Mus musculus: one gene and its partner. The protein of the gene in region 1 purifies or fractionates together with the protein of each later gene. This does not show direct contact. Links are inferred from orthologs where the notes say so. Each region holds a gene or a part of one and is shown in the gene's direction. Other genes may lie near its edges. The genes, in order: Faf2 and Ubac2.

Region 1 (15,293 bases):
CCTTCCCTCGCCCTTTCCATTCATTTTCCTTCCCCTTCCCTTCCTTCTCTCCCTCCTTCCTTTTCTTCTCCCTCACTGCCTCCCCCTCCTTCAGAACCATCTTCCATTGCATTTTATTTATTGTGTTTGCATGGAGATCGGAGGACAGCTTGAAAAGTCAGTTCTCTCCTACCATGTGGGTCACAGGGATCAGATTCCAGTCAGCAGGCTTGGCAGCAGGAGCCTCTACCTGTTGATCCACTTTGCAAGCCCCACTTGGTTTCTTTTTGAGGCAGAATCTCACTGTGTAGCCCAGGCTGTCATCAAACTCTGGACCTTTTCATCTTAGTTTTCCTGTTGCAGTCTGATTTCTCACGATCTAGTTAAGGAAATTAGATACATAGCTGATTGTGAACTCCAAAGAACTTAATGGTGCTTTTCTTTCTTATCTTTGAGTGATGGCATTCACCTCTTACACATGCTTTTAGAATTGTTTTAAAGAAAATTAAGCATTTATTCAATCCTAGAGCAATTACAGTGACTCCATTATCATATTTTTCATGTCTGTATATGGAGTACTTAATGTTTCAAGAATTCCTTGAGAGCAGACATAGTAGTACATGTCTGTAGTCCTAGCCATTGAGACACTGAGATAGGAGAGATTGCCTGGGCTCTGTTGTGAGACACCATCTCAGGGAGGAAAAAGACGAGCTATAGAAATGGCTCAACAGTCGAGAGCACTGGCTGCTCCTGCAGAGGACCAGGGTTCAATTCCCAGCAACCACATGGCAGCTCACGACTGCCTGTAGCTCCAGTCTCACGGATCCAGTGCCCTCTTCCAGCCTCCTCAAGCACCAGACACACACATAGTACACAGACATCATGCTGGCAACACACTCATACACATAAAGTTAAATTAAAAGCAAACAAACCAACAAAAAAGAGTGCTGAGGCAAGAGGATCACAAGTTTGAGGCCAGCCTGGGCAACATAGTACAGCTGGCACCCAGATAAATGTAGGACTTAATTATGCATTTTCTTTTTCTTTTATATTTTTGGTTTTTTGAGACAGGGTTTCTCTGTAGCCCTGGCTGTCCTGGAACTCACTCTGTAGATCAGGCTGGCCTCCAACTCAGAAATCCGCCTGCCTCTGCCTCCCAAGTGCTGGGATTAAAGGTGTGCGCCACCACGCCTGGCAATTATGCATTTTCTATAGAAGAGACACTTGGCAAGGTCTTCAGTAGATGCCCTAAGCCCCCAGAACTACTAACTAAGCCTTCGTATTTAATGTCTTCCTGAAGCATTGGCTGTCACTTTTGCTATGTAAGATGCAGCAGCAAAGCTATCACAGACTTCTCTTCCATCCCAATTATGAACAAAAGATTGTCACACTACCTGTCCTCGCCACAGGACTCCTCAAATCTTAACCTTTCTTAATGGGATCACTTCGTGGTTTTCCTTTGCCACATCGGTTCTAGGACTGACACTTTGGGGTCATTTTGTTGTTTTGAGACAGGCTTCTGCTATGTAGCCCTATCTACTCTTGGATTTGCTGTGTAGATCAGGCTGCTTCCAACTCAGAGAGATCCACCTGCCTCTACCTCTCCACTGTAGGCATTTAAAGTGTGCATCATCATACCTGGCAGGGTCCATTTTTAAAGTAAAACAAGGATTACTTGAACATAAGCAATCGCCTGAGACATCTGCTAACCAGGATGGCTACCAAGAAACTGGTAGGCAGCTGTCGTGTGAAGAAGGCTGGATGAAGAGTCATCCTGAGCGGGATTGTTACACTGCTCAATTTGCAGTTTAAAACTTAGGAACCCTTTAGGGTTTGAATTTTCCATTTAATATTTTCAGACCCCAGTTGACTGAGGGTAACTGGAACTACAGAAAACAAAGCCATAAATAAAGGGAAGAAAGACTAAAGTAGATGAGTACAGATTGGCCAAGTGAAAGTACCTGTCTGAACTTCCAACATTAGCTGCCTGAGGTGGGGCAGCCTGCCTCCGCTACAGTGAGTTCTGGAACAGCCAGGACTACAAAGGGAAACCCTGTTTCAAAAACAAAAGGAAAAACAAACAATAAACAAACCAGATTCCTCGAGCAATCCATAACTCAGGAAGTAATTTCCTGTGTCCCCATGTTTCTTCAGCTTGGACTGGACCTCACTTTGTGTTTGAGACCCTGATCCCCATTTAGCTTTAGAGCCCACTGCGATGACCATGCAGGGCATTTGACACAGTCTGACATGAAGCTGTCTGTGTGTGAGAGCAGTAAGATAGGTTGATTAGTAGACACCTGAGGATGTCCTTGTGGTGGAGTCTTGTGGTTGCATACAAGTGTCCAAAGCAAGGTAATTATCTCTTGTTATTTCTATGTGCCATATAGTGAGTCTAAATATAAGACGGAAAGAATGAATATTTGTTATGTGGGAAAATCGTTGACCATGAATCTAAATAGTTGTTTGAGAATGTTATGAAGATTTAAAGCAAAAATTCTGTGAAGAACAATAGTCTTAGATGAAATGATAGATACCAAAGCAGTAGCATTTAATAATGAGACTGTCAAGAAGAGCATTGTAATAGAGAGGAATCACTAGAGAGGGGTGGGCTCGTGGAAATTGAACTAGCCATATTCTGTAAGTATTGAACATTGAGAGAATGGGGTCTCTAACTTTGTTTTTGGAATTCCAGGGCCTGCTTGGATGGGGTTATTACTTGATAATGCTTCCATTCCGGTTTACCTATTACACGATACTTGATATATTTAGGTATGTACCTCTGTTTATATGCTTCTAACAACAAGGTAGGCTTTGAGGCTGAAACTTAGGTTAGAGTAAGCTTGACGCTCAATCATTTTTGAGTAGCCTACTTGTCAGATTACTCTTCCTGCACTTTCTTTTACTGTAGGAAAAAATGTTGTAAATTGTTGCCTAGTGGAAGGTGTTATGATCGGCTTCACTTTGGTCCTGGCTGTTGTGTGTAAAACCACATGGATCTGCCTGTGTTTATTTATTGGTCTTCTCCTCCCCACACCATGTTTGTCACTGCTACATTCCCAAGGGAATCCCCATGCCCTTTCCTTTCTAACCACCTTATCTGTCTCCTGATTTCATACTCCAGGAACTTTTGTCCCAAACCACTTCTCCTCTGACTATGCACAATCCCAGTAGATTTTCTCGCTCAAGACTATACCTACTTAGCTATAGATTGTTGGCATCTTTCTAGGCAGTGTTTTGTACATTTCCCTCTGCCCTGGCGATGCTTAGGTTACCAACACTGGAACCCTTTCGTACATGCACCCACTTGTTTCATACCTTCACCATCTAGCTTCCTTTGTGTACCATTCAAATAACTTACCTTTGCAAGTTAGTGTCCAGAGCTAGGAAATGTTGAGTATAACCTGACTTGCCGGCAGATCAGGCTTAGCATAGAATATGAGCGAGAGCAATGCCCGCCTGGGCTTTGCTAAAAGCTGAAATGTCTATTGGAGGCTGGGTGTGGTAGCATCAGTCTGTAATCCTCTTGAGAATGAGGCAAGAGGAGTTGAGTTTGGACAGGGTGGGGAGAGTGGGAGTAGGAGAGCATGACGTCCAGGCCAGCGATGAGCTAAAAGAACGTTCACAGAGTGCCCCTTCCGGATTCCAGTGCTGGAATATGGACCCAACTATTACCAGGGACTGGATAATAGCTTCTCCTTCATCTCCCGCTCAGTGGCATCCTTCCTGTAGCAAAGTTTGTTGTTTTGTTTTGAGTTGGGTCTGTTTATGGTTTATTTATTTGGTTGATTGGGGGGGTTGTTTTTGTTTTTTAATTTATTTTTCTCTGTGTAGCTCTGACTGTCCTGGAACTCACTCTGTAGACTAGGCAGGCCTCAAACTTAGAGATCCACTGCCCTTGCCTCTCCAGTGCTGGCCATTGCAAACATTTTTTTTTTTTCAAGACAGGGTTTCTCTGTATAGCCCTGGCTGTCCTGGAACTCACTCTATAGACTAGGCTGGCCTTGAATTCAGAAATTCGCCTGCCTCTGCCTCCCAAGTGCTAGAATTAAAGGCATGCACCATATTACCTGGCTCATTGCAAACTTCTTTAATGTCTACCTGAGTTGTAGTTTTTCCATTTCTGTTTTATTCAGGAATGGGTATGTGGAACTACACAATTTTCAAAAATCACAGTGAAAACTGAGTTGACATGTATGGCTTAGACTATGTTGGCTGTTGAGATACATTGTAGTAAGAAACAGTGGACTTCAAGTCTTTGCCTCTTCCTAGAATTTGGATACTCAGACAGCCGTTAAATAATCTTTTCAGAGAAATAAGTCGAAGTACCGGCCTTCTGAAGCACTTAGAACTACTTCCCTATATACAGAGCTTTATTATGTCTTTCATTTTCTTGGATTGTTCATATTGATGAATTTGGTTTGATGACTTAGGAAAAATACTCGTGGGCAATGTGTTTGGTTCAGTTTCTTGAGACGTGGTTTCTCTTGTGTAGCCCTTGCTGTAACTGCAGTTTGCTCTCTCAACCAGGCTGGCCTCGAACTAACAGGCATCATGGCATACACCTTTAATTCCAGCACTAGGAAGACAGAGGCAGTCAGATCTCTGTGAGTTCGTTGAGGCCAGTCTGGTCTACACAGAGAGAGTTGCAGGACAGCTAGGGCTGTTACAAAGAGAAACCCTGTCTCAAAAACTAAAAAAGGGAGGGGCGGGGGGAGGAGAGAGAATAGGCTTAAGAACTGGTAAAGAAAGTTATCAGAGTTCACTCACCTTTTTCTATACTAAAAATTGAACATTGTTTGCTTTCCTTGGGAAAATATGCATGGCATGTTTTACTAATTGTAATGCAATGTTGTCATCTAGGCAACTTCCTGTGAAGTGTATGTAAAACATCCCCCTTTGCCTCATAACCGTGTATGGACACCCAGAGTGTAAGAATGGGTGTGATACGGCATGGTAGCGTAGGCTCTTTAGGGATAGTGTATGGACCCATGAGACACTGCATCCTTAGGTCTAAAGTAGCCACCAGTGTTCCACATCTTGGTCAGCTTTATGACTCCTCCCATGGATGCCATCACTGTAAACATATCAAGCAAATATACACGCCCCTTTGAAGAACAAATACATTGTGACTAAGTCCAGGTTTGAAGTGAAGCCCCTGTTGATACTTGAGTAACTTGAGAGTAGGAGCTGAACAGTCAGAATCCCAGAAGAACATAAAGCAGGGGATGCTGGGAGGAGGAGATGCAGCAAGGGGTCGTCTATTCTGCAGCAGTGTTTGTCATTGCACCTTTTCTTTCTTTCTTTTCTTATTTTTTGATTAAGACACGTTCTTTGTCTGCATTATTTGGTGTGCAAATCACTGACCACATACGTCTGTTGAGCACTTGAGACATGGTAGGTGTGGCTCAGGCACTGAATTGTAATTGTGTTTAATTTAACGCATTTAAAACAGCCATAAATAGTTAGTCGCTGCCACGTTAGACAGTGTCTGGGGTTTGGATCTTTCTTGGTCAGCCCTGCACTGGAATGTCGCTGTCTAGTGGTGTGCAGTCTTCTTGAGCAGAGAGCGGACACTTGGCAGTGTCCTCAACTCTCCCTTGAGGGTTAATGGCCACTCACTCACCACTCACTTCCCCTGCTACCACCCTCTGGCTCTGTTAGAAAAGTCTGTACAAACTGGCCCACTCCATATGCGCTACAGTAAGCCAATTCATGTGATATTTATTCCTTCCTCCCCAGGTTTGCTCTTCGTTTTATACGGCCTGACCCTCGCAGCCGGGTCACTGACCCTGTTGGGGACATTGTTTCATTTATGCACTCTTTTGAAGAGAAATATGGGAGGGCACACCCTGTCTTCTACCAGGGAACGTACAGCCAGGTCAGTGCCACGAACCAAATAGATGCCAACGTACCAATATGATTCTGTCCTCAAAGGAAAGTGTAGCTTAGCTGTGATCATGTTGCTCTTACACTCACAAAAGACTTAACTAGTTCCTCACTGGTTAGAGAAATGTAAACAGAGGCAGGACCAAGCCTTTTCTCTAGCCTCCTGGTCTAGCCCCGTTCTTGTGATGTCCTTTCTGCATAGCTTGTTTCCATTCCCTAGATTCCCACCGCACCCCTCCCCGAACACTTCCCCTCAGTGCCTGCTCTTGCTGCTCCTCCCACAAGGAGTGTCCTCTATCATTTTGGCTAACGGGTGCCTTGCCTTCCGCACCCGTCCTTCACACCAGCTCGGGCTGTTCTGGCCACTCCATTCCTTCCCTATCGCACCCTACCTTGCTTTCTAAAGTACTGACCTTCCTTCTTTTTTGTTTTCCATCCTTCTGTTCTTAAATTTATAGCAATTTTACATTCCTCCTTACATGATTTGTGTTCATGTCTTTGCTGTGTTATCAGACTGTACACACCTTCAAGGCAAGAGCAGAATTTGTTTTGATCTCTTACAAACTGAATAGGATTTAGACCATAGGCTCAAGGCAGCTCATTTGATTCAAACCAAGCCACAAAGACCTTTCATTTTCTCCTTTTAGGGAGGAAAGCTGGATTTTAGGCATATGTAGTTTGCCAGAGAACAATAAAGAGCAGCACAGACATGTGTTAAAAGGTGGCTCTGTTGTGGAGTATCTGGAATTCCTGATTCTTATCTGGAGAGGGGGCAGCTCACTCTTGCTTCTGCTTTGTCTCACAGTTGATCTTCATGCTGGCTGCTGCTCCCCACTCGCAAACATCACACACCTACCTGCTGTACACAGTTAGATCCCCTGCTTGGGGCCGCAGAGAGTGAGGGTGAGGGAGACAGCAGTTCTTTGCGTGATCTTGAGGGTAGACTACATTAGCAATGCAGGGAATTACAGGCAGTTAGTCAGGAGTATACCATTCATACGTGACAAGATTCGTGACAAGACACTTGCTTTGTCTCAGATCTTCTGAACCCTGTGCTCTTTAGGAAACCTTTGGGTGCCCTAGTGCTTCCTGCTTGCCTGTGTTCTTGCTGGATCCCACTCATCTTTGCAGCTAATTTTTTATTAGCAAGAATTTTGAAGCTGCAAAATTGCTTTTACATAGTCACAGTGTCCTGCTTTACCTTTAAACCATGAGAACAGCTGACTTTCTGTGACTGTCAGGAATTATTTGAGTCACTTCTTACATCCTCATGTGCCCGATGCAGCGTAAATTCTAACAGCACGAAAGGCTTTGCGTTAAAGTTGTTGGCTTGGGCTTTATAAGGAGAAAGATGCCAGGGATAGATGTAAAGGTAGAAGCCTGGGAAGTACTTAGTTTCTTGCTTCCCCTTCAACCCCACTTCCCTCCCCTCTTTCTAGTTGCTAATGTTGATTAAAAGTTATGTTCATCTGAACCCTTAGCCTAAATAGTAGTTCCAGACCTTAGTAGTAGTAAGTCATGATCTTTTGTCTCTCTAAGGCACTTAACGATGCCAAGCGGGAACTTCGATTTCTTTTGGTTTATCTTCATGGAGATGACCACCAGGACTCTGATGAGTTCTGCCGGTAAGTAGATGAGTCATTTTCTTTCTTCTCTGACTTTTTTGCTGATGGTTTATAGTTGGCAAATTGCTCTCACAATGTTTTATCTTGTTCCACAGCAATGCTCTCTGCGCACCTGAGGTCATCTCACTGATAAACAGCAGGATGCTTTTCTGGGCTTGTTCTACAAACAAGCCTGAGGGGTACAGGGGTAAGTCGTGTTCCTCTGCCTTACTGAGAAGGTTAGAGTATCCTTGGGGAAGTCTGGAAAAGCATGCTGTTGCATTCCTGGGTGGTGGTTCTCTGATAGACATAATGCTAGTTGCAGTTTTTACTTTCTGTCATTTAACTTTGTCAACAGTCTGAGAGATAAAGGTTGTATTAATTCTTCTTTGAGATTAATGAAACAACAACAGAGACATTAAGACAGATCCAAGAGCATACAGTCAGCGTACGGTTGTGTTTGAGCAGAGCAAGTTTAAGGCCCATTCTTTACAGCTAACCATTGCCAGAGACTCTGATTTTCAGTCAGTCCTGCCCAGCAGCTCAGTTCTAATTTTAACAGGCTTTTGCTAGGCATTTGTCTTCTCTATCCAGGCTTTCAGCAGAACTCTGGTTAATGAGTCTTCTGTTGAGTGCTAGAGCGCAGACAGCCAATGCAGGGAGTTCAGTCTTTCTGGCAGCAACTCTTAGTCAGTGTTTTTAGAAATCATCAGAAGATACAAAGATCCCAGTGGTGAGAATACAGTCATTTTGTAGCCTCTTTGTCCAGCAACCTCTGTATATGCTAACACCTAGGCATTGGGTGCCTGGTGTTCAGAACTAAATATAATACAATGTAGCTGTTTCTCTTGCACCTTAGTTCTTAATCTTTACTCCTAATTGATTTGTAAACATGGGCTATATTCCTGCAGCCTGTGTTTTGCCATTCTAATGTGGCTCTGTGGGGCTAGCAGGTAGATTACACAAAGGATACTTTTTGTAAAGAGTTATAAAATTTCTTTCTTTATAACATAGGATGCAGGGGTCTGGAGAGATGGCTCAGCATTTATTCTATAGGTCCTGAGTTCAATTCCCAGCAACCACATGGTGGCTCACAACCATCTGTAATGGGATCTGATGCCCTCTTCTGGTGTGTCTGAAGACAGCAACAGTATACTCACACATACAATAATAAATAAATTAAAAAAAAAAAAGAACATAGATGCAATTACATCATAGTAAAATTTGTTTATTTACAGAACAACTTTCTTACTTGGAGCAGAAAGCTAACATTGTTAAGGGAAGAAAATGAGGGGTGGAAGGAATTGGATGAGGAGGAAAAGACAGGAAGTGTATGCGCTGTAAAACCATAGCCACCAGCATGCAGCTGAGAATTTCAGCCTTGTCCCCAGTGGCTTTGACTCTTAACATCTGGAGAAATTATACTTAAGTGTAACATGGCTCTTTATAGTGCCTTTTCCTTCCGTTCAGTAGACATTATCCTAGAACCTTGTTACCTTTTCAGCATAACAGCAGCTTACCAAGAAGCCTCACCCTGGTCTAAGCACTCGCCTCAGTTTAGGAATACAAACGTGACAGAAAACAATGAAGAGACCAGGCAGGGCTTATGAGATGGAATTTGAGTTTGGTTATCAAACACAGGGGAAAGAGAGAACCAACTCTAGAAAGCTGTCTTCTAATCTCTGCACTCATCTTTAGAGGAAAAAATACAGCAGAGGGGCTGGAGAGATGGCTCGGTGACGAAGGGCATGGGCTGCTTTTCCAGAGGACCCGCTTGGCGGCTCACAGCTGTCTGTAACTCAGATGCAGGGAATCTGAGCCTCCTCCAGTCTTCCTGGGCACCATGCATGCATGTGATGCACGTGTGCATGGAGACAAGTGCTGACGCACAGGAGACAGAAATAAATCTCTGAGGGTATTTCCATCAGTGTGTGCAAAGTCTAAGGACTGATGTGTTTCCTCCCAACTCTTACGCTTGATCTCTTGGGTCTTTGTGTCAGTGTCCCAGGCCTTACGGGAGAACACCTATCCATTCCTAGCTATGATTATGTTGAAGGATCGGCGAATGACTGTGGTTGGAAGGCTAGAAGGCCTCATTCAACCTGATGACCTCATCAACCAGCTGACATTCATCATGGATGCAAACCAGACTTACCTGGTGTCAGAACGTCTAGAAAGGTACTGGAGATGTGTGCTTGGAAAACGGACTGACTTGGGGCTCCACAGACTTCTTTCCTGTGTCTTGGGCACTTTAAAAGCCTTTGCTTCATGTTGAAGAATAGCTTGGGCCGGGCGGTGGTGGCGGCACACACCTTTAATCCCAGCACTTGGGAGGCAGAGGCAGGCGATTTCTGAGTTCGAGGCCAGCCTGGTCTACAGAGTGAGTTCCAGAACAGCCAGGGCTACACAGAGAAACCCTGCCTCGAAAAAACAAACAAACAAAAGAATAGCTTGGAATGCTGAACATAGAACTTAATGCGAAGAAGGTGGACTGATTATAGCTTTTCTCATTACATGGATTATGTACAGTAGTTACAGAAAAATTGAAATGGTAAAGTCAAAGAAGAAATTTTAAAGCATTCATAATTTTAGGGTGCTTCTAGATTTGTAGTCACTTGTGCACACTCTCTGCTTACTCTGAAGATAATAACAGAAAACAAACAAAAGGCCCATTTACCTTGTCATACTCAACACAGATCACATTTGGCACCAGATGTATAGGTGGTTTTTTCCACACACCAAGCAGATCAGTTGTGTAGCAGTGGACAACAGCTAGGTGTCTAGTTTATCAGTTCTGTTCCAACCTCTGCCCCTGAGGCAGCATCAGATCCCACTGGGTGGGAGCTCAAGCCCAAGGCTGTCGCTCACCTTCACTGCTTTCACCCTGCACTGCTTTACGTGTGGTTTTAGAACTGCAGACCAAGACGCCACAGCTTGTGCTCTGATGACTGGGCTCAGACAGTTTAGTAGACTTGGTTAGCACTTAGTTAGCTTCACTTGTTTCAACTCTCGGGAAGTTGTTTGAGTTCTGTTCCTCTGGGATCTCATCCAGATGTCATTGCAGGAGCATGGTGCACACATAAGCAGCCACTCCAGGGTAGCAAGGAGATGGCTGTCCATGGGGGCTTTCTGTGGGAGCTAAGACCTGAGCTTTGCTCCACAGCACCCCCATGAAAGCTAGGAGCAGCTGCCACACTGAGCAGAGCAGAGACAGGAGGGTCCCGAGCTCTGCAGGTCAGTCAGGCTAGTCAGTGAGCAGGCTGCAGGGTCACTGAGAAACTGCCTTAAATACAACGTGGGGAGCTGGGGATGGCTCAGCGGTTAGGATCCAAAGGACCCCAGCTCAGTTCCCAGCACTAAAGATGGGCAGTTCATAATTCCAGCTCTGGGAGATCCAACTCCTTCATGGGCACCTGAGTATATGTGTGTGTGTGCATATATGTATATATATATATTCTCATTCTCTCTCTCTCTATCTTTCTCCGATTCTTTCCTCTCACTCACAAACACACCAATTTTAAAAATAAGAATAACTTTTTTTTAAAGATTGAGGACCAACCAGCAAGATCACACTTAATTTCAGGTAGGAGGAGAGTACTGCCCTCCACATGTTGTGCGGCACGCTTACTCCTTCTTCAGTACCATGTACATTTGAATAAGTAAATGTAGAAGGAAACATGCTGGCCTCTGTCTGACCTCAGTGTGGACCACTGAGGTGCTGGAGTGCTTGGCTCTGAGTGGGACAGCTGTGGCCCTGCCTCGGGGCTCAGGGGTGTCAGGGAAGAGGAGCAGAAGGAGAGTAAGGCAGAGGATGAGCGAGTCACCACACTCAAAGCCCCCGCCCCTCCCTGAGGGACTATTGGCCATCAGTGGGGAGTAGTTGCCTTGTTTCTGTAAATAACGCCCAACTACCCTCTGCCACAGGCCACATATGGAAGGACAGAGTCAGGAGGAATGAAGGGGATGAGAGTGGATTGGAGTTGAAAATGACTAAAGTCCATTATCTAAATGCATGAGATTGTCAGACAGTAAGTGCAGGTCATGAGATAGCTCAGTGGCTAGCAGTACCTGCTACAAAGGCCTGCCCAGACTTTGATCCCAAATTCCACAGGAGTTTGCTGTGCTCTGCTTCAGAATGCCGTTGTCTTCAGTAGAAGAGAAAATAGACAGGAAGTGCACTTGAGTTCCTAACAGTTGGGGAACAGATCAGAAGTTCAAGGTCATCCTTGGCTACATAGTGAGTTTCGAGACCACCTTGAGATATATAAGACCCTGTGTCCTAGTCAAGGTTTCTCTTGCTGGGATAAGTCACCAGGACCTAAAGCAAGCTGTGTAGGAAAGGGCTTATTTTCTTACAGTTCTGTATCATCGTCATCCAAGGCAGTCAGGGCAGGAACTCAAAACAGGGCAGGAACCTGAAGGCAGGAGCTGATGCAGAGGCCATGAAGGAGTGCTGCCTACCTGCTTTTTGAGCCTGCTTTCTTATACAACCCAAGACCACCAGGCCAGGGATGGCCCCACCCACAATGAGCTGGGCCCTCCCACATCAGTTATGAATTAATACAATGCCCTACAGGCTTGCTTACAGCCTGATCTTATAGAGACATTTCCTGATTAGGGTTCTTCCTGTCAGAAGACTATCTTGTGTCAAATTGACATAAAAACTAGTCAGGCCGGGCGGTGCTGGCTCACGCCTTTAATCCCAGCACTTGGGAGGAAGAGGCAGGCAGATTTCTGAGTTCGAGTCCAGCCTGGTCTACAGAGTGAGTTCCAGGACAGACAGGGCTACACAGAGAAACCCTGTCTCGAAAAACAAAAAACTAGTCAGAACAGTCCTGAGAGAAGTCAGGTCATGAACTAAGTGAAGCAGAAGCAAAGCCATTTATTTGCTGCTAATTGGGTTGCTCCTCCTTGCTCACCACCTGCCTAGGGGATAGCACTGCCCACGGTAGATTGGGCCCTCCCACATGAATCACTAATTAAGAAAGTGCCCAATAGGCTTCCCAAAGGAAGGCCAGGGATTCTTCTCTCAGCTGTGGTTCTCTCTTCTCAGGTAACAGCGTGTCCACTTGTGTCAAATTCACAAGTAAATAGCAACAACCAGGATACTTATCACATTAAGAAATAGATTATTTAATAAAATAGAAGCCAGGAGCTGGGCGTGGTGGACATTTCTCTAATCTTGGTACTTGAAAGGCTGAAGCAGGAGGATCTCAAGACAAGGGAAGTGGGAGCAGTCAGGAACTGCTCTTGGCCAGCTTGCACTTGGCCCTGCAGTCTATCCTGGAGAGGGAGCAGGGAGCAGCAGGAGAAAGCTGGGCTGGGAGAACAATGTGAAATTTGGAGTTGGTTTCCATCCACAGGGAAGAAAGGAACCAAACCCAGGTGCTGAGACAACAGCAGGATGAAGCCTACCTGGCTTCTCTCAGGGCAGATCAGGAGAAAGAGAGGAAGAAGAGGGAGGAGAAAGAGCGGAAACGCCGGAAGGAGGAGGAGGTGCAGCAACAGAAGCTGGCGGAGGAGCGAAGACGACAGGTGAGCCACACAGTTGTTCCTTGTCTTTCCTATTGCTGCTTGCTTCCCGCCAGGGCACACCCTTTCCCCAGTGCTCAGTGCCTGCATGTACTAGCAGTGCATGCGTGCGTGCGTGCATGTGTGTGCAGTAGATTTGTTCCTTCTTTGTTACCAAGAAGGTTGGTTTTGGGTTTGGGATTTTTGTGTGTGTATGTGTGTGTGTGTTTTTTTTTTTGAGGGGTTATTGTTTTTAAATTTTTGTCCAGCCAGATGTAGTGGTGCAGCCCTTTAACCCTGTCACTCAGAAGGCAGAGGCAGGATTGAGGCCAGTTTCTCAGTTTGATGTCAGCCTGATCTTCATATCAAGTTTTAGGCCAGCCAGGGATATTTAATGAGACCCTGCCTTAACCAGCGAATAAAGGAGAGTTTATTTATCCATTATATGTGTATGAGCTGTGAGAGCATTGATCCACACATAACACCATGCCACATGTGGTACTCTATGAAGGTCAGAAGACAACCTTAGGGGAGGGTGGAGCTCAGGCTGTCTTTCGATTGTACCTTCAGAGCCCACACACCATTACCTCCTGAGCTATCCTGTTGGCCTCAGGAGGGTTTCTTTTCAAAAATTGTTGATGAATTTTCAGTAAACATTCATGGCCTCTATATTCTGGTTTCTTTATCTCTGTTTGAGCCACATCCTTACCTGTGCTTTGTGTCTCTAGAACTTGCAGGAGGAAAAGGAGAGGAAGCTGGAATGCCTGCCCCCTGAGCCCTCCCCTGATGATCCTGAAAGTGTCAAGATCATTTTCAAGTTACCCAATGATTCCAGAGTAGAGAGACGATTCCACTTCTCACAGTCTCTAACAGTAAGGATCACTTAAGCCACATGATGCTGTGATTTGGGCTGTAGATGTGTGCATGCAGAGGGGAGGACAAACCACGGGAGGCCGTTGCTTCCCTTCCTCTGTGTGGGTCCCTGGGATGGAACCTTCAGGCTGGACAGAGGCCTCCTTCCCACCCCTCTAACCGTGTTCTGAACTACACCATGTGCAGGAAGCACACAAGGTAAGATGAAAAGACCTAGCACAGAGTGAAGAGGAGGCGTGGCTGGGAACGAAGCCGATGACACTGAGAACAAGGCTCACACCTGCTCTTTGGGTTGGGTTTTGGGGTTTTGTTTTTGTTTTGTGTTTGGGTATTTTTTTTTGTCTTTTTGAGACAGGGTTTCTCTGTGCAGTCCTGGCTGTTCTGGAACTCACTCTATAGACCAGGCTGGCCTCAAACTCAGAAATCGCCTGCCTCTGCCTCCCAAGTGCTGGAATTAAAGGCATGGGCCACCACTGCCTGGCAAAATGTGTAGCCCAGGCTGTCCTCAAACTCGTGATCCTCCTGCGCCTTTGCCTCCTTCAGCAAATCCTACCAGCATGCGCCACCACAACCAGCTGCTTTTTGGGTTCTAATTTCCAGTGTTGGGGATGGAATTCAGGGTCTCCTATTCAGCTGCGTGTGCATCTGCACAGGAGAGAAGGGTATCACATTCCATAGAGTTAAATGAGACGACTGTTACGGGTGGTTGTGAGCCACTATGAGAGTTAAATGAGACTACTGTTACAGGGGTTTGTGAGCCACCAGGTGGGTGCTGGGAATTGAACTCAGGACCTCTGGAAAAGCAGTCAGTGCTCTTAAACACTGAGCCATCTCTCCAGCCCCTACCCTGGACTTTTTAATTGGGTACCGTAACTGTGTCTCCCAGAGTACCTGCTGTGTAGTACACGGTCACTCACCAGATGTTGATTCCCCTTGTTCACTAACTACAGGTACATGTAGATCTTTGAGGGGACAGCTGAGGGTTTAAGATGAGTTTATCCGTGTAGCCCTGGCTGGCCTGGAATTTGCTCTGCAAACCAGGCTGGCCCTTGGACTTAGAGATCACCTGCCTCTGCCTCTGGAGCTGGGACTAAAGGCATGTGCCACCATGCCCCACTTTGCACATAAATCTTACAGATCCACTCATCATTTCCTCTGCAGTTTTCTGAAGTTTCTACCCATTCAGTACTCAGAGGAAAAGTTTCTATATGTGAAACCCAGCAAGAACCCTTAGGCTTTTCATTTGTTTGTTTTAAAATTTGTGTGTGTGTGTTGCATATAGAAGTCAGAGGTCAACCTCAGATGTTTTCTTCTCAAGATCTCTTCCTTATTTTCTGAGACACTCTTTCTTTCCTGGGACCTGGGGCCGCTGTTGTACTACACTGATTTGCTCTCAGGTCCCAGGGATCCTCCTGTCCTCTCTCCCCAGCACTTCCC
Region 2 (15,258 bases), on another chromosome or scaffold:
ACAGATTTGAGAATACAATAATAGTCCTCCATCTTGGTGGAAAGAAACGCGGAGACTGTCATGTGACTCCTCCCCTGTGCAGCGCTGAGTCCTGTTCTTCTGGCGCCTTCACCTGTGGACGGCTTTACAGGCGAGACCTTGGTTTGGGCGGTTTGAGGCAAGCAGAGGGGAATGTGGAAACAGCAGTTTGGGCTGTAGACTTTTTGTCTTTTTTTTTTTAAGATTTATTTATTTATTATATGTAAGTACACTGTAGCCGGCTTCAGACTCACCAGAAGAGGTCATTAGATCTCATTACAGATGGTTGTGAGCCACCATGTGGTTGCTGGGATTTGAACTCAGGACCTTCAGAAGGGCAGTCAATGCTCTTAACCGCTGAGCCACCTCTCTAGCCCCAGGCTTTTCCTCTTAGTGAGTCATTTTTCCCTGGTCCTCCCAGAATGACAGGGGTCAGGTTAACCTGCTGACAGTCTCACTTTAAAGGAGCTATAGCTCTTCCTCTCTCTGCTGTGATATGACATGACCTCGTGAGGCCGGCCTGCCTTTCTCCACCCACCCCCATCCTCTTCTCTTGCTAACCTATTTCCCAAATCTTGTGTTTCAACATTCCTGATTAGGTGCAGAACATCGAGGGTCTCACAGGCTGTATTTGTAATGCACACGCTTGGCATGTTACTGTAGAATAATAAGACAGTCTTGGTTGGGCGTGGCGGTGCACACTTTTAATCTCAGCAACTGAGAGGTCTCTGTGAGCCTGAATCCCATGACTTCATAAGCCACACATTCAAAGAAAATGTACATACGTGAAGGCATCCTGTCACAGCCACAGATGTAACACCATCGCTGCTGCTTCTGTACCTGTGCTGGGTCTGAGATTACAAGTTCTCAGAACCCATCCTGTTTCCAGGCGCCTTTGCAGGTTTGTCTCCCATTGAAGAGGGCGAGGCTAGAGCCACACATCAGGGTCTCTAAAGGTGACCCCAAGAAGCCAAGGGACAAGATGTCTCCACCTGCCTCCTTTAGGCAGACATGCAGAGAAGAGGGTAAGACGGTCTGGGCAGTGAGTCCTGCTCTGTTTCCCAGAATGGCTGAAGAAGCACCCTGAGATGTTGGACAGCAATGTAGGAAGAGAGAAAGGGTACCACGGGGAAGTGAAGGACTCTGGAGCAGCTCAGGGAGAGAAGAAGGGCATGCATGCCTCTAGATGGTCTAGCTCCTTCCTGTTCTGATAAGAACTGCACCCGCCCCAAGTCAAGTCCACAAACACTGGCTTGTCTATTGCAGGCAAGCTGTGGGGGACACAATACTGAGAAGCAGCCCTGTTGTAGCAAGACACGTGCTAGGGAAGAGTGGTGGGCAGCAGCTGCAAACTGAACGGTGGATAGATCAGAGAGGCTCCCCAGAGATGCCTGGAGGGGCTCCCTGTAGCCTGGAGAGTGGTGGAAAGGGAACTTGAACTAAGGAAAACATGGTCTTATATATATGAGAATTTATCAAAGCATAAATAAAGCCTGTCAAATAATGTCCTTTTTGTAACCAGACACAAATGTACTAAAGTGTCTATCTCAAGAACTGTTTCCTCTTCCCTCTGCCTCCCCCATATTTTCTTCTTTTTAATACTTTTTACTTATTCTTTGACAGCTTTATAAAGTACATAAACTATTTGGATCACCCTAGCCCCGTCTTCCTTCTCTTACCCTGTCCCACTTTCATGGGTTTTTCCCAGTGATCCACGGAGTTTAATGAAGGCCACACGCATAAGCATGGGCGGGGCGGGGGTTCCGGAGCATGGGCGCTGGACTCCTGCTTACACCGTGACAGAAGACTTACTTTCTTCCCTCGCAGCTGTGACCTGCCAGTCGTTCCTCAGCTAGGGCTGGGTTTGTGAGTCCCTCCCCCGCTGCCCTGGGATGTTAAGGGGGCCCTGGCTGCTGTGAGCCATGAGTGCCGTGGCCAGCACCGTCTTTCCTTGACCAGGTATTTTTGATACCACACTCATGCTAAAAATCAGAAAAAAAAAAAATATGGGGAAGGAGTTTGTCACCTTTCCTGATGACCTGAGTGAGAGTCTCATGGAGGAAGGAGAGAACTGACTCCCACAAGTTGTCCTCTAACCCCCACGCAAGATTATAAGGGGGATGCTATGAGGGGGCCTGGCAAGGTACACAATCTTGGACCATAAATAAGATTTATACTTTCTTCCTGTTCACTTCTAACTTCATTTTAGTCAGCCCAGTTACCGCTGGGCTGGACCACCCAACCCTAACGGTGCTGGAAGAGTAGGCAGGGAGGTGGCCCTTTCCTGAGCATGTAAACAGTAGAGCCCCCGTTAACCAGGAGGTGAGAGGATCAGATCAGGAAGACAAGAGCTGCTCTTCCCACAGGGGCAGTCCAGCAGCAGCACTGGGGGAGGGGAGCCCGCAGGAACAGCCAACCGTCCTGCTCACGCTCACGATAGAGAGGCAGAGCAGCGCTGGCCCTGCCATTCACATCCAAGTGTGCATGTGACCTAGCACGGAAGGGCAGTCCAGCTATGGATGGGGTGGGGCCGCCATCTCTGTGAGGTGGGGTGGGCATCTCCATCTATGAACATCAGAATTCGGGAAGTTAAAAACCCAAAATACCATTTGTTTTTGACACTCGTAACTAGAGGGAAGTTAAAGAAACCACAGTCTTTGTTGAGCAAAGCAGCAGTTGTCACTGAAGGTGCCGCTGCGAATCCTTGGGATGAGTGTCTGTCTTTGATGTGTAGCACAGGGGAGGTGAGTCAGGAGTGGAGAACAAAGGCGCCATTTTGCTAGCTTCTTGGAGTGAAAGTTACCTCGAGGCAGGTAGAAGTGTACAGGTCATCAGAGATACTTAAAAAAAGTATTTAAAAACGAGGAAAACGAGGAAAGAACTGTGTCTCTGTGTGCCGGTTTCCTCCCTCGAGGTGTGGTCTGTTTTTTGAAGAACACATGGGAGGGAAAAGTACAGTCCACCTGTTGTCAGCTGACAGTGACCGTGTCTCTTTCCATCCATGTTCCCTTCCTCTGGTCAGCCAGCCACTGGCTTCATTCACCATGTCACAGGAGGCTGAGTAAGGCTCCTGACGCCTATGGTGGGCCGTGATGAAAGGCAGCTGACTGAGTTAGTCGGCTGGCTCCCATGGTGGGAGAGGACTGGACACTAGCACAAATGCACACCCAACCCAGGGAGGAAGAAAGAGGGAGGCTCCCCCTGGTGCCCTGTAGATTCTGTGGTCTCAGGCCCTCACTTCGGCCACAGAAAAGAACCATTGGATATTCCACTTGGGGAACTTTAATGACTGAATAAATAGTTGTGAAAGACTACAAAGGAGCTGGTGTTTTCTCTGGTACCTGTAACCCCAGAACTCAGGAGGCTGAGGTACAAGGATTGCCACAAGTTTGAAGCCTGCTTGGACTACATAGTTTAATACAGCCAGGGCTATGCTATGAAACCTTGTCTCAGAATTAGACAGACAGACAGACAGAGCAGAGCAAGCAGAACAGTCTCTCTCGTGGGACAGTAATCACCCATGGTTGGATTCTAAGCAAACCTGAGCAAAAGATGGCTTAGACATTGGACTGGACGCCTCACTGTGCTCTAAGCTGACACTCCACAGTGGTTTAGACAGTTCCCTCTGTGGGTCAGGAGGAAGGTACCCAGTGGGCTGGGGGGGGGCAGCAAGGATTAAAGGAACGGCTTTTTAGAAAACTCCATGGGGCATTTCATAAGTTTCCCATACAAATTGCTGTCAACCTGGCATCTGGTAATGATGGGATGCAGCTCTGTGGCCTGCTGGTGGCTCTGCCTCAGCTGGGAAACTGAGCCACTTCCTTAAGGAGCTCACATCACTGAGCCTGACCGCCTAACCTCAGTTTGGGCTACTGTGTATGTCAGGCTCTCTTTTAGATGGGGAGAAATTGTCCCAGACATTGTCCTTGTGTAACACACAAGGTCATCAGCTATGTGGGAAATTGGAGCTGGTGGATTCCCGACCATTCCCTTTACCATAGCTCCATAGGGCAGGTCCTTCACAGACTCTCTGATAAGCCTATACCAGGCCAGTCAGCAGTAAACACACACTTGTCTTCTCAGCCCTGAAAAATACATAAATATAGAAGCCAGCTCTGACCAGTGGCACTGGGTGGCTGAAGTGCCAGACCTGTTGCTCACTTTCAGCAATAGAAGACTCTTCAGAGAAGACCTGTGAAGACCTGACTCATTGTCAAGCCAGTGGTGGACATGTGGTCATTCATGTCTGAGAAGGAGTGATCACAGCGATTGTGCACAAAGAAGGTGTTCATGCTCCTGACAGACCTTGCCTTCAGGGCCACTCGGCCATTCCAAACCCGAGGGCCCAGTGAGGTCTGTGCCACCTGTCCTTGTGTCTTCTGGAACCCACGCGTGTCATTAGTGCAGGGAAAGATCACGGACCATTGTTACAGTGGTAGCCAGACATCTCTGCTGGCTCTCAGCTCCAGCTATGACTTACCAGTCCCTGAGACTGCTGCCTGTTGACAGCATATAGACCTGCTCCTGGTCAGGCTCAAAATGAAAGTGAGCTACAACTCTGCGTGAAGTGTGCAGGGAGGCAGCAAGGATAGGAAGGGACAGACTGGCTGGAGACCCTGAAATATGCTCACACGCAACACTCAGCAGGAAGTGGACCCGTCCAACTACTGACTGGTCCAGAGACAGTGCTCCTCAGCCAGGATAACTGCAGAGAGCCACCTTACGATTGGAACCCAAGGTGAAAATAACTAGTCAGACTGCTTTCATCAGGCAGATTTTTCCCTCCTTATGATTTGTGTCTGGCAAACCTCCCAACCCCTTGACACTTAGGCTGATGGGAGCTTGAAAGGGTAAGGGTAAAGGGTAAGAGTATGCTCACTGTAAAATGGTCCCAACAGAAAGGAGAAAGGCAATTCCAAAAAATTAAATGGCAAGTTTGGTATTTTGGTGTCTGGCAATGTAAACCAGATTAGCACCACATGACTTGTAGATGTCAGAAAAATCTTTGCAGTCTGAGAAAACCAAAATAGCCCTGTTGACACAAGATGTCACTGAATTTACATCTGTGAATTTACATCTCTGTGGAGACAGAGCACCAGCCTATGGAGTAGATAATAGTACTGAGCTGACCTGGGCTTTTCACTGGGTAAGCTGATTACCCACTGAGCAGAGAGAACTTTCTCATGGGCTCAGAGCTCTATCTTTGATCTGGTGTGTCTAAAAACTGTCATCAGTAATGATTCAAATGAAGTTTGCAGGTTTGCTAAGCCTACTTAGGGGAGATACAAGTTTGAGAGGGATGATTGATGGCATTTAGAACTAACTCCTTTGAGTTGGCTGGAAAACAGGCAGAGCTATGTGCCGTCCTTTTACCTACAAGGTCACTGTAGGACTTGAGAACTCTCCTGAGTATGGCAGGTGAAAACTATCAAGTTTTTAGCAGACTCCTGCTAACCAGTTCACACGTCATAGCTCTCTACATAAGTGTGTATATATTCATATCCATGTGCGCAGATATAACACACACACACCTACCAGCACACACCCATGGAGTTGCACACTGCCTTGGGTACCATGTTTTCAGATGACACAAACTGAGAAAGGATTGGGGTCCAGAGACACAGTGTTAACAGTTTAATGTGAAATTCTAGTGCAAGCTCATGCATTAAAGCTTTAGTTACCTAGCTGATAGCACTGTTCGTAGGCTTTCTTCAGGAAGTAGGATCTAATCAGAAGGAGCAGATCACTGGGAGATCAGGTCCTAGGGTGTCTTATCCCTATGGCAGAGCAGGCCCTAGAATATCTTGTCCCTGGGGGGAGAGCAGGGCCTTGGGTGTCTTGTCCCTGGTCCCTCCTGGTGTCATCCTCTGCCTCCTGCCTGCCACACTGCACTACCATGATGTCCTGTCCAAACACGTGGGGGCACAATAACTACGGGCTGATCCTTTTAAGCCACGAGCCACAGTAAACCTGTCCTTCTCTAAGCTCTTTCTGTTGGGTGATCTGGCCACAGTTGTAGAAAGCTCGTTAACTTGGTACTAAAAATAGTGACACTGCTGTGACTAAATCCTAAGTGTATGGAGCTGGTTTATGGGCAGAGTTTGGAGACTGAGCTAGAGAAAGCTTCAGATTCTGTAGATAGAGCTTACAGGGTGATTCTGGAGGAGAAAAGAAGGTCGGAATACCAGTAGGGGTGCAGTGAAGGCCAGGCTGTGAGTTTACTCTTGAATTGGGCCAGGGGGAATTTGTTACATTTTGGCAAAGAATTTGTCTTTGTCCCAGTCCTGGGATGTTGAAGCTAACTGTAAAGTAGCTAGTTAATTTGGTGGAGATATTTCAGTATAACATGGCACCCAAGCTGGAGCACAGCCTCTCCTGCCTGCTTCTCACCATATTTTCCGTGAGAATCGGGAATGCAAAGCTGAGCAGGATTTGAAAACTAAAACGTAATGTAGAAAGTTGTAGACATAAAGGGAGTGGTTGTTAAAGTAACCAGTGGCATTTCCAAAGAAGCTGAGCACTTTTACTGGGACAGCGAAAAACATGCCCTGAGAGCATATGTATTCTTCAGGGTTCTCTAGTGGAACAGAACTCATAAAATGTATGCATGTATGTATGAATGTTTACACAGATGTGAATATGTATGCATATATGCACACACATACTTATGAATTATGTAGAAAGGAAAACCTATTAATAGGCTATGGTCCAGCTAATCTAACAGTGGCTGTCTGCCACTGAATGTCCAAGAATCCAGTAGTTGCTTAGTCCACAAGGCTGGATATCTCTCTCATCTTCAGTGAAGACCAGTATAGACCCCAATACCAAAGAAATGAAGAACTAGGCTAATGTGAGTGAAGAGTAGACTTGGCAGCAAGTCTTGTTCTTAAGCAAGCAGACAAAGAGAGCCAGCTTCCTTCTCCCACATCCTTTGCATGGGCTGCCAGCAGAGGGTGGTTCAGATCAAAGGTGGATCTTCCCCGTTCAGATCATTTCAGTGTGAAGTCCTCACAGGTGCGCCCAGCCATCTGAGTCTTAATTAATTCCAGATGTAGTGAAGTTGCCAGCCAAGAGTATTCATGACAAAAACTGACCAGACCCAACCAGACCCAACCCACAGCAGTGTAGGATGTAAAACTGTACACTCATTTAGAAGACTTTACCTTGAGAACACTCTCAAGGCGTCCTGCTTACACGGGGAGGGATGCCTGAGAAGATATCTCCCAGGTCACTGATGCTGTGGTCCATGGAGGTCCAGCTACTGCTTGAGCTGGCAGCAGAGCTTGGCATTGTCCCTGTGGTGTTTCACTACAGGCAGGCAGGAGTCTGGCTAAGTCACAGTATCATCACCTGAGCAGGTAGTGTGTGCAGCAATGCCAGGAACAAGGAACTTATGTCTTCTATGCTAGGCAAGCACTTTACCAACTGAGACACATCCCTAGCCAGAGGAGTGGAATGTTCTAGCTTGAATACGAAATGTCTACCACGGTCTCCTGTGTTAACGCCTAGCTAGCAGTATTGGAGATGCTCTGTAAACCTTGGTTTTACAACCTCATGAATGTACTCTGAGTAGTAGGAAGACTGGTCACTGTCTAAGGGGCAATTAACTGGTGACAGTTGAAGACGCTAGGTGTGCACTTGGTGGCCTGTATGTGCGCACCTGATGTCCCAACTCCTCCCCACCAGATCCCATGAGACAGAGTGTGGCTGTTACTCTGGAGTTCTCACAGCCTGGCCCCAGTGCACCCCACTGCATCAGGGCCTTCGAAGCCCCGTTTCCTTGTGTGTTTTATGTAGCAGCTAATTTTGGTTATTAGCATGATTGAATTAAGAAACATTTAGGGCATTAATAGGGCCTCTCTGAGTGTGTCTTCAGGCATGTTTCCAGAGAGACTTAACTGAGGAGAGAGTCCACTGTGGTATGAGCACCACCTCCCATGGCTGGGTCCCCAGACTGAACAAAAAGGGAAACAGGAAGAAGCCAATTGACTCCAGCATGGTGTCTCCTGGACCCAAGAGGTGCAGAGTCCCAGCCACACAACTCCACTGCTGACTGCGCTGTGGCCTCCTTACCTCTCCCATAAGTCACTTTCTGTCAGAGCACCTAGACATGTAACTAAGCCGGCAAAGGTCACGTGAGATTTCCTAGTTGTGCACAGAAAACACTGGAAAGGTTTACTACGAGTCACCTTTGCTGGTTGGGGGAAGTGGATCTTTGTTGATTTTTTTTTTTTTCCAGAGAGACAGAAAGGGAAGAGAGAGGAGTCAGCCAGAGGACAACCTCAGTCATCATCCTTGTAATATAGTCCACTGTACCTGGCATTTTACACGGGGTGCTGGGGAACTAAGCCCAGGCCCTCTCTTGCAAAGCAAATGACTTTACCAGCTGAGCCTCATCTTCCCCTCTTCTTTTTTTTTTTTTTTTTTTTTTTTTTTTTTTTTTTTTTTGTATTTTGAGATAGGGTCTCATGTAGCCCCAGGCTAGACTCAAAAGTCCCTCTATTGCCCAGGATAACCTTGGACTCCTGTCGCTCTTGCCTCTACCTTCCAAGTGCTGGGATCATAGGCTTGTGCTGCCAGGTCTAGACTTCCTATTCTTTTACTACAGGCTTGACTTGGGAGTAGACGTGAACTGACTCGGGTCAATTTAGAAGCTTGAGCTTTCCCACAAAGCCACGTGAGGCACATGTGGTGCTAAGGATACGCTGTGTGTTGTTGAGCCTCCATTTTCTGCCCTCTTTGCAGGTTGCCCGCCTCATGGAGATGGGATTTTCCAGAGGGGACGCCTTGGAGGCCCTGAGGGCCTCAAACAATGACCTCAATGTGGCCACCAACTTCCTGCTGCAGCACTGACATCCAGCCACTGTATGACAGTGATGTGCCCGCCACCACATCAGCCTGAGGACCAAGCAGACCCCAGCACAGGTGTTCTCAAGAGGAGACGGTGGTTCCCACCATACACTGTCCTTAAATCCAAGATGGTTGCCGTGTAGTATCAAATAAGTTTGCCATTAAATTAGCATGTATTTTCTATCTTTATTTTTTTACTGGGCATTTCTCAGTGTGGAGAGCCGTCATTCTTACGTGTTCAAATGCATGACGGTTACAGGTTTCGGTGGCTGTTTTATAGCACCGCAGAGAGAGACAACTGTCCTGAAGCTCGAGTGCAGTCTGCTCATCCTCACGTCAGGGAAGGGCGGCAGGCCATGTGACCTCAGAAAGGCTGTGTCACACTACTCTGTATGGACTGGGTTTTTTTTCTCTTCAGTTTGTATTCACATCTCAGTGACAGAGGGAGCTGGAGATGAGCCTCCTCCAGCCTAGAGTCTGCCCCAACTCCTGCTTTCAGTACAGATAATCCAGTGCTGGTGTGAGGTTCTAGAATGCCCCGTGATGCCTACCTGGGGTCATTTTGCTCAGAATGCATTACAGTGGCCACTTGGGCAAAGGAGTGAATTGGAATAAAGAAAAAAGTTGCTTCAGAGACTTAGTGGGGCTGTGCAGAGAGCAGGCGCTGGCCAGCAATGGCTCAGCCCCGGCCTGCCCACCCTGGGCCAGCCTGCAGCCCTCCATACACCACCAGCCCTTCTGGCAGCACACCTTCCCTGGCCCCATCCTTGCCCCTTGTAGTGGGTGAGGCAGTGCCCACTGTGCAGACAGTCAGGGAGGTGTAAGCAGGAGGCAGCCCCTGTGAGCAAGAGCAGCTGTAGGAATTGACGACTGTCCCGTAAGCAAACTGCACCGGGTGTATTCTGCACAGTGAGCAGCAATGTGTCAAATTGATGCAAATCTAGGTGTGTGATACTTACAATAAAGTTTTTATGTGTTTTACTTTTCAGTAGTTTTTATACTTCTCCAAATAAAACTTTAGGCAATTCCACCAAAAAGAAAAATGAACCCAGACAACGTCTTGAGAAGGCCGAGGCCTGCACAGTGAGCACTCCCTTCTTTTGCCGCAGTGCGGTCACCGTGGGCAGTGCTGACTGGGGCCCTGAACAGGGTTGGAGCTGCCCTGCAGGCCCAGTGTGAGCACGGTGACCAGCTTCCTTCACTGACGGGGCCAAGGGACACTGCTCCTGGAGGTAGGAGTGTAAAGTGAGGCACTCTAAGACCCACCCAGTACCGCTGTATGGACTCCTTGTCTGGAGTTCAAGCCTGGGTTCAAGAGGGCAAGGGCTCTCTGTAAGTGTGATGGCTTGGTAGGGTGTAGACAAGCTTCTACGCTGAGGGCTTTATGCAGATGCTAACAGGTTAGCCTTGGTTTTCAGAACAGCAGGTCCAGACCAGAATGGGAAAGGAGTGGAGAAAAGTTGTCCATAGTGAGTGAATTCGTCCTTCTGTGACCAGGTTAACTTGTTGCTGTTGACAAAATAACCTGTCAAAAACAGCTCACAGTGGGAGGAGCTCTGGCTCACAGTGGGAGGAGTGGGGGACATGACTACAGGAGCATGAGGTACACCCAGCCAGAGGTGTTTCCATGATTCTAAATGCACAGAGTCAACAATGAAAGTGAACTGTCACCATACCTAAGGACACCCTGCCCCCGAGATGCAGTTGAATCAGACAGCATAGGGTTAGCAAACAACCACTTGAGGCAAACTGAACACAAACTGTCAACGCCTCCCGGTGGCACTGAGAATGTTTTACACATTTCACACAGCTAGCAGACGGTGGTCTGGGCTACAGAGTTGCATATCTAGGAGAAAATGCCCCCGAGATACAGATTGTCAGCCTGGGAAGAGGTGAGGCTGGAGAGCTGGGCTGTGTGATAGGGGTTAGCATCCCAGCACTAGGAGCTCTCAGGAGGCTGGAGTCAGCAGAGGGCAGTCCCTGTCGGGGAGGTAGGGAGATCTGAGGGCCAAAGGAAGGACACAAGCAAGGTAGGGCAGCATGGTGGTGGCAGGTTCCTGAGGGCAAGAGCTGGGATGTGAAGAAAGCCAGGAAGTGGGGCTTGCAGAATAGGATCATCTCAGAACTGGGAGGAAGAGAAGATAACAGCCCTGTCCTTAAGCAGGGACCAGAACAGGTGAGAAGAGAAATGGAAGTAAGTACTCATTTGCCAGAGAGACCAGGAAGGAGCCCTCCCTCTGTCTCCGGAGGTACCAAAGAACGCTAGCAGATTACCCTTCCCACCCATCACCACCACTCTTTGGAAAGATTTTCCTGTATTAGAAGCTCTCACAACTCAGGCTGTACACTGGTGGTGAATTTATATATAGTATTGTAGAAGTGTATACTCTTTGCATCTTTAAAATCCCATGTCTTTAGTTATTGGTACAGGTTTGTGTGGGTATTTTATTTTGGCTTGTTTGGTTGGCCCTCAAGTAGCCCAGGCTGGCCTCAAATTCACTATATAGCCAAGGATGACCTTGAACTTCTGCCTCCACCTCCCTAGTGATTGATTGGGTCACAGCTGTGCACCATCACATTGTGTTTATTTGGTCCCAGAGCTGTGTGCACTGTGCAAGCTCTCCCCCAACTGAGCTGCTTCCCCACCCCCGAGTCGTCCTGTTTTCCTCTAAAGACAGGACCTTGCTATGTAACCCAAGCTGGCCTCGAAATCCCAGCAATTCTTTTACTTCAGCCTCTTGAGCGACGGACTGCAGGGTGAGCATTCAGTCTACACCACAGATCGACACTGAGATGCAGCTGGGATTTCATTATCAAAATGCAGCCATGGGGGTTGGGTGTAATCCTTCTAGTTTTCCACCCCGCCCTATCGAGCCCTTCTAGCTGTTACACTCCTGTTCTGATGACAGCTTTGGTGGTTTGGGGAGTCATTTGCCAACATTCGGCTCAGTTCCTAGGGAAAGCACCCTCCTTCCCCTCTTTCTTTTTCAGTGTTCGGAATCAAACACATAGCATCAGACATGCTAAGCAAGGTGTATTTCCCACCTTCTTCATTCTTTATCCATCAACTTTCATAATAACCAAATTATTTCATTTCAAAGCCATAGGCACTTGTGAGTCTGTGAGACTTGGGCACAGTCCCAGCCATCTCTTGGTGAGACCTGACATACAGAGAACCAGCTGCCTGGACCAGCTCAGAAGCCACAGGCCACTTTCAGGCCTTATCAGTTCTTCCATATTGGCAAGTGAGGCTACCTAAGAGAATTCTCATGGGAGCTACAGTGGCCAAGAAAGTGGAAACATTGCCTAGGCTGAGACAGTCAGGAGAAACATCTCCAGTGAGAGTTGTTCGGGCAAAGCACCAGCTCTGAGAGTCAAAGCTGCTACAAGCTTCTTCCACTACACATGCTAAGGGGCCAGGAAGAGTCCCCACCCAGAGAGTGCAAGATATTTGATCCTAGCAACTGAACAGGACACTATCCAAGGCCATATACTCCCTGGCTGGATCTCCCTTCCTTCTCTGGGTTTAGTGTTTAACATTGTGTGGCCCCTGGTCCCACCACTAGCCTCTGTCTGTATTCCTAGATGAGAGTTTCCCTAGAGGGATACCAGTAACTGACTATGTAGGGGACTGGCCAGGTCACCCACACAGCATCAAAAAGAAAGCCATCGAAGATATAGAAAGCCAGACGAACAGCTTCACAGGGAAGCCGATCTCTGACACACTTACGGCTCTTTCACTCACAGTTCACCCAGTTCTTGAGCTGAGAGGAATATCAAAGATCGTGTTGACTAATGTCCTCGTTGTACAGATGAAGGCTGCATCCAAAGCCACCAGTGGCTTGCTGAGGGTACCTTGACTCCATCTTTTGATGTCCCATCCAGAGAAGGCCCCCTTCAGCCCTCCTGCCTGGTAGAGATCAGAACCTCTTCACAAGGGAGCTGAGTGTTTTCAAGAACTTGACCCCAGTCCCTTGTGCCTCTCCAGACTGTCTGATTTACAGCCTCTGCCACAGCAGGCATGCATGTGAGTCTGTGGAAAGGACTGTGGTTACCACTGGTTTTATCATGTCCCCACATGTACCCAAATTAAGAGAATACTAGCAATGAGAGGATAAAATGAGATAAGGGTGACAGACTTCTGCAGAACAGCACTGATGAGCAAGCATAAAATCAGCTCAAGGCTCCAGAAGCAACTCAGTCTAGAAATGTAGGGCATAGACTTGGCCTGGAGGCCCCAAACTCTAAAGCACTGGAGAACAGATTCTCTGCAGCTCTGGGCGCAGCTAGCCTTGCATTTTGGGTACCTAGAGGACACCAAAAGTTCAGTCTCCAGTACATGTCACCCCTAGTCAAGAGTTACACATCTGCATACATGTGTGCCTCCTTGTGGATCCACATCCACATATGCATAGCACACACATGCGTACATGCACATATGCACACACAATGCAGAAGGGAATGGGCATAGATTGAGGTCAGTGGCAGAGTACTGATCTATCATGCACAAGGCCTGGGTTTAACCCCTACCACAGCAAAGGAGAATGCAAAGCATTTGCAAAGGCAGTCTGTCTGTTTGCCTGTCTGTCTGTCAAACTGTTGTATGGGAGCACAGAGGGCTTCCAGCACATGAATCAGTTTCTTCACAGTCCCAAAAACTGCATAGCTCAGATCAAGTTGCTCACAGGCCTGGTTCCTCCTGAAGATGGCGTTTTTCTGTGCTTTCACGTGGCCTCCCTCCACACCTGTCCACGCCCAGATCTTACAAAGACATTAGTCATTGAATTAGAACTTAGCTCTTTAGAGTCTGCATCTCTAGATATGGTCACCCTACAAGGCTCTCGGGATCACAGCTCCTACACATTGAAGCCGTAACAGGTTTCTGAAGTAAGGATCCTGCTATGGCAAAGTCATTCAGTGCTCCACAGTGGCCCCAGGCTCTGGGTTGGAAAGGAGGTAGCCACAACCTTCCAGGCCAGTTCCAGCTAGGCTGCGGCTACACTGCTCCCTCTCCACCCCCACCCCCAGACCCTCTAGATTGAATGGCTTGAGACATCATGGCCTTAAGGAGCCTTCTTCCCCCTTCTGTCCCCAGGGGTGAGAAACCTGGTCTTTCTTACGCTCGTGTCTTATTTTTTAGGACATAATTATCATTTGTATGTGTGTACGTGTGCTGCTTGTGTATGCAGTTATGGATGAGTGCGTGCCGCCGCGTGGGTGGGGAAGTCTAAGGATGACTTTGAAGGGTGATTCTCTCCTCCTGTCTTTATGGGATTCCTGCAAACACCTTTGCCCACAGAGGCATCTTCTAGGTACCAAACTCCTTTCTTAAACACTGTATTACTCGTGATAGCTTTGCAATATCTAGAAGTGCTGATAAGCTAGGATCTCATTTTGAGGATAAAAAAAATTCCAAAATATGACCCCAGTCACATGTTCCCAGCAAACCTGAAGAGTCCAGATGGAGGCAGGAGGTACCTTCCAGGACTCCACCAAACATAGATTGTCTCCTGTGCTGGTTTGAATAAGAATGGCCACATAGGCACATATATTTTAATGTTTAGCCATTAGGGAGTGGCACAGTTTGAAATGATTGGAAGGATTAGGAGGTGTATCCTTGTTGGAGGAAGTGTGTCACTGGGGGTGGGCTTTGAGGTTTCCAAAATCATGGCAGACCCTGTCTGTCTGCTGTCTCTCTGTCTGTCTCTCTCTCTGTCTGTATCTCTGTCTGTCTCTCTCTGTCTCTCTCTCTCTCTGTCTCTCTCTCTCTCTGTCTCTCTCTCTCTCTGTCTCTCTCTCTCTCTGTCTCTCTCTCTCTCTCTCTCTCTCTCTCTCTCTCTGCCTGTGTATCAGGATGTAGCTTTCAACTACTTCTCCTGCACCAAGCCTGCCATGCCTGTTACCATGCTCCCCACTATGATGATAATGGACTACACTTCTGAAACTGTAAACCAGCCTCCAATAAAATGCTTTCTTTTACAAGAGTTGCAGTGATCATGGTGTCTCTTCAAAGCGATAGAGCACTGACAAAGACAAGTACCCACCCACAAGCTACTTCCTTTCCCCTTTATTTTACAGATGTTTGGTTGGTTTTTTTTTGGGGGGGGGGGTTCGAGACAGGGTTTCTCTGTATAGCCCTGGCTGTCCTGGAACTCACTTTGTAGACCAGGCTGGCCTCGAATTCAGAAATCTGCCTGCCTCCGCCTCCCAAGTACTGGGATTAAAGGCGTGTGCCACCACACCCGGCCAGATGTTTGTTTTTGAAAGGCTTGCTTCACAGGCAAGGGCTCTTTTGTGCCAAGGAGCCCTTGCCCACCTCCTGTACATTCAGCTTGCTCACAGACTCTATCCTTATGGCTGTGAACAAGGGCAGTTTCTCTATAGATCAGG

What was found.
Region 2: the proteins of Faf2 (region 1) and Ubac2 purify together in Homo sapiens (affinity purification with western blotting; 7 studies listed by BioGRID and IntAct, with this or other methods). This does not show direct contact. The link is inferred for Mus musculus from reciprocal best matches to the Homo sapiens genes FAF2 and UBAC2.

The regions. Positions count from the first base shown.
Region 1 is NC_000079.6:54,642,571-54,657,863, forward strand, and holds part of Faf2 (FAS-associated factor 2), read left to right. Parts: intron 1-2,674; coding exon 2,675-2,751; intron 2,752-5,721; coding exon 5,722-5,860; intron 5,861-7,407; coding exon 7,408-7,493; intron 7,494-7,588; coding exon 7,589-7,680; intron 7,681-9,472; coding exon 9,473-9,650; intron 9,651-12,835; coding exon 12,836-13,007; intron 13,008-13,711; coding exon 13,712-13,855; intron 13,856-15,293. UniProt on the Homo sapiens protein: Plays an important role in endoplasmic reticulum-associated degradation (ERAD) that mediates ubiquitin-dependent degradation of misfolded endoplasmic reticulum proteins.
Region 2 is NC_000080.6:122,011,187-122,026,444, forward strand, and holds the end of Ubac2 (ubiquitin-associated domain-containing protein 2 precursor), read left to right. Parts: intron 1-8,763; coding exon 8,764-8,871; 3' UTR 8,872-9,849; downstream 9,850-15,258. UniProt on the Homo sapiens protein: Restricts trafficking of FAF2 from the endoplasmic reticulum to lipid droplets.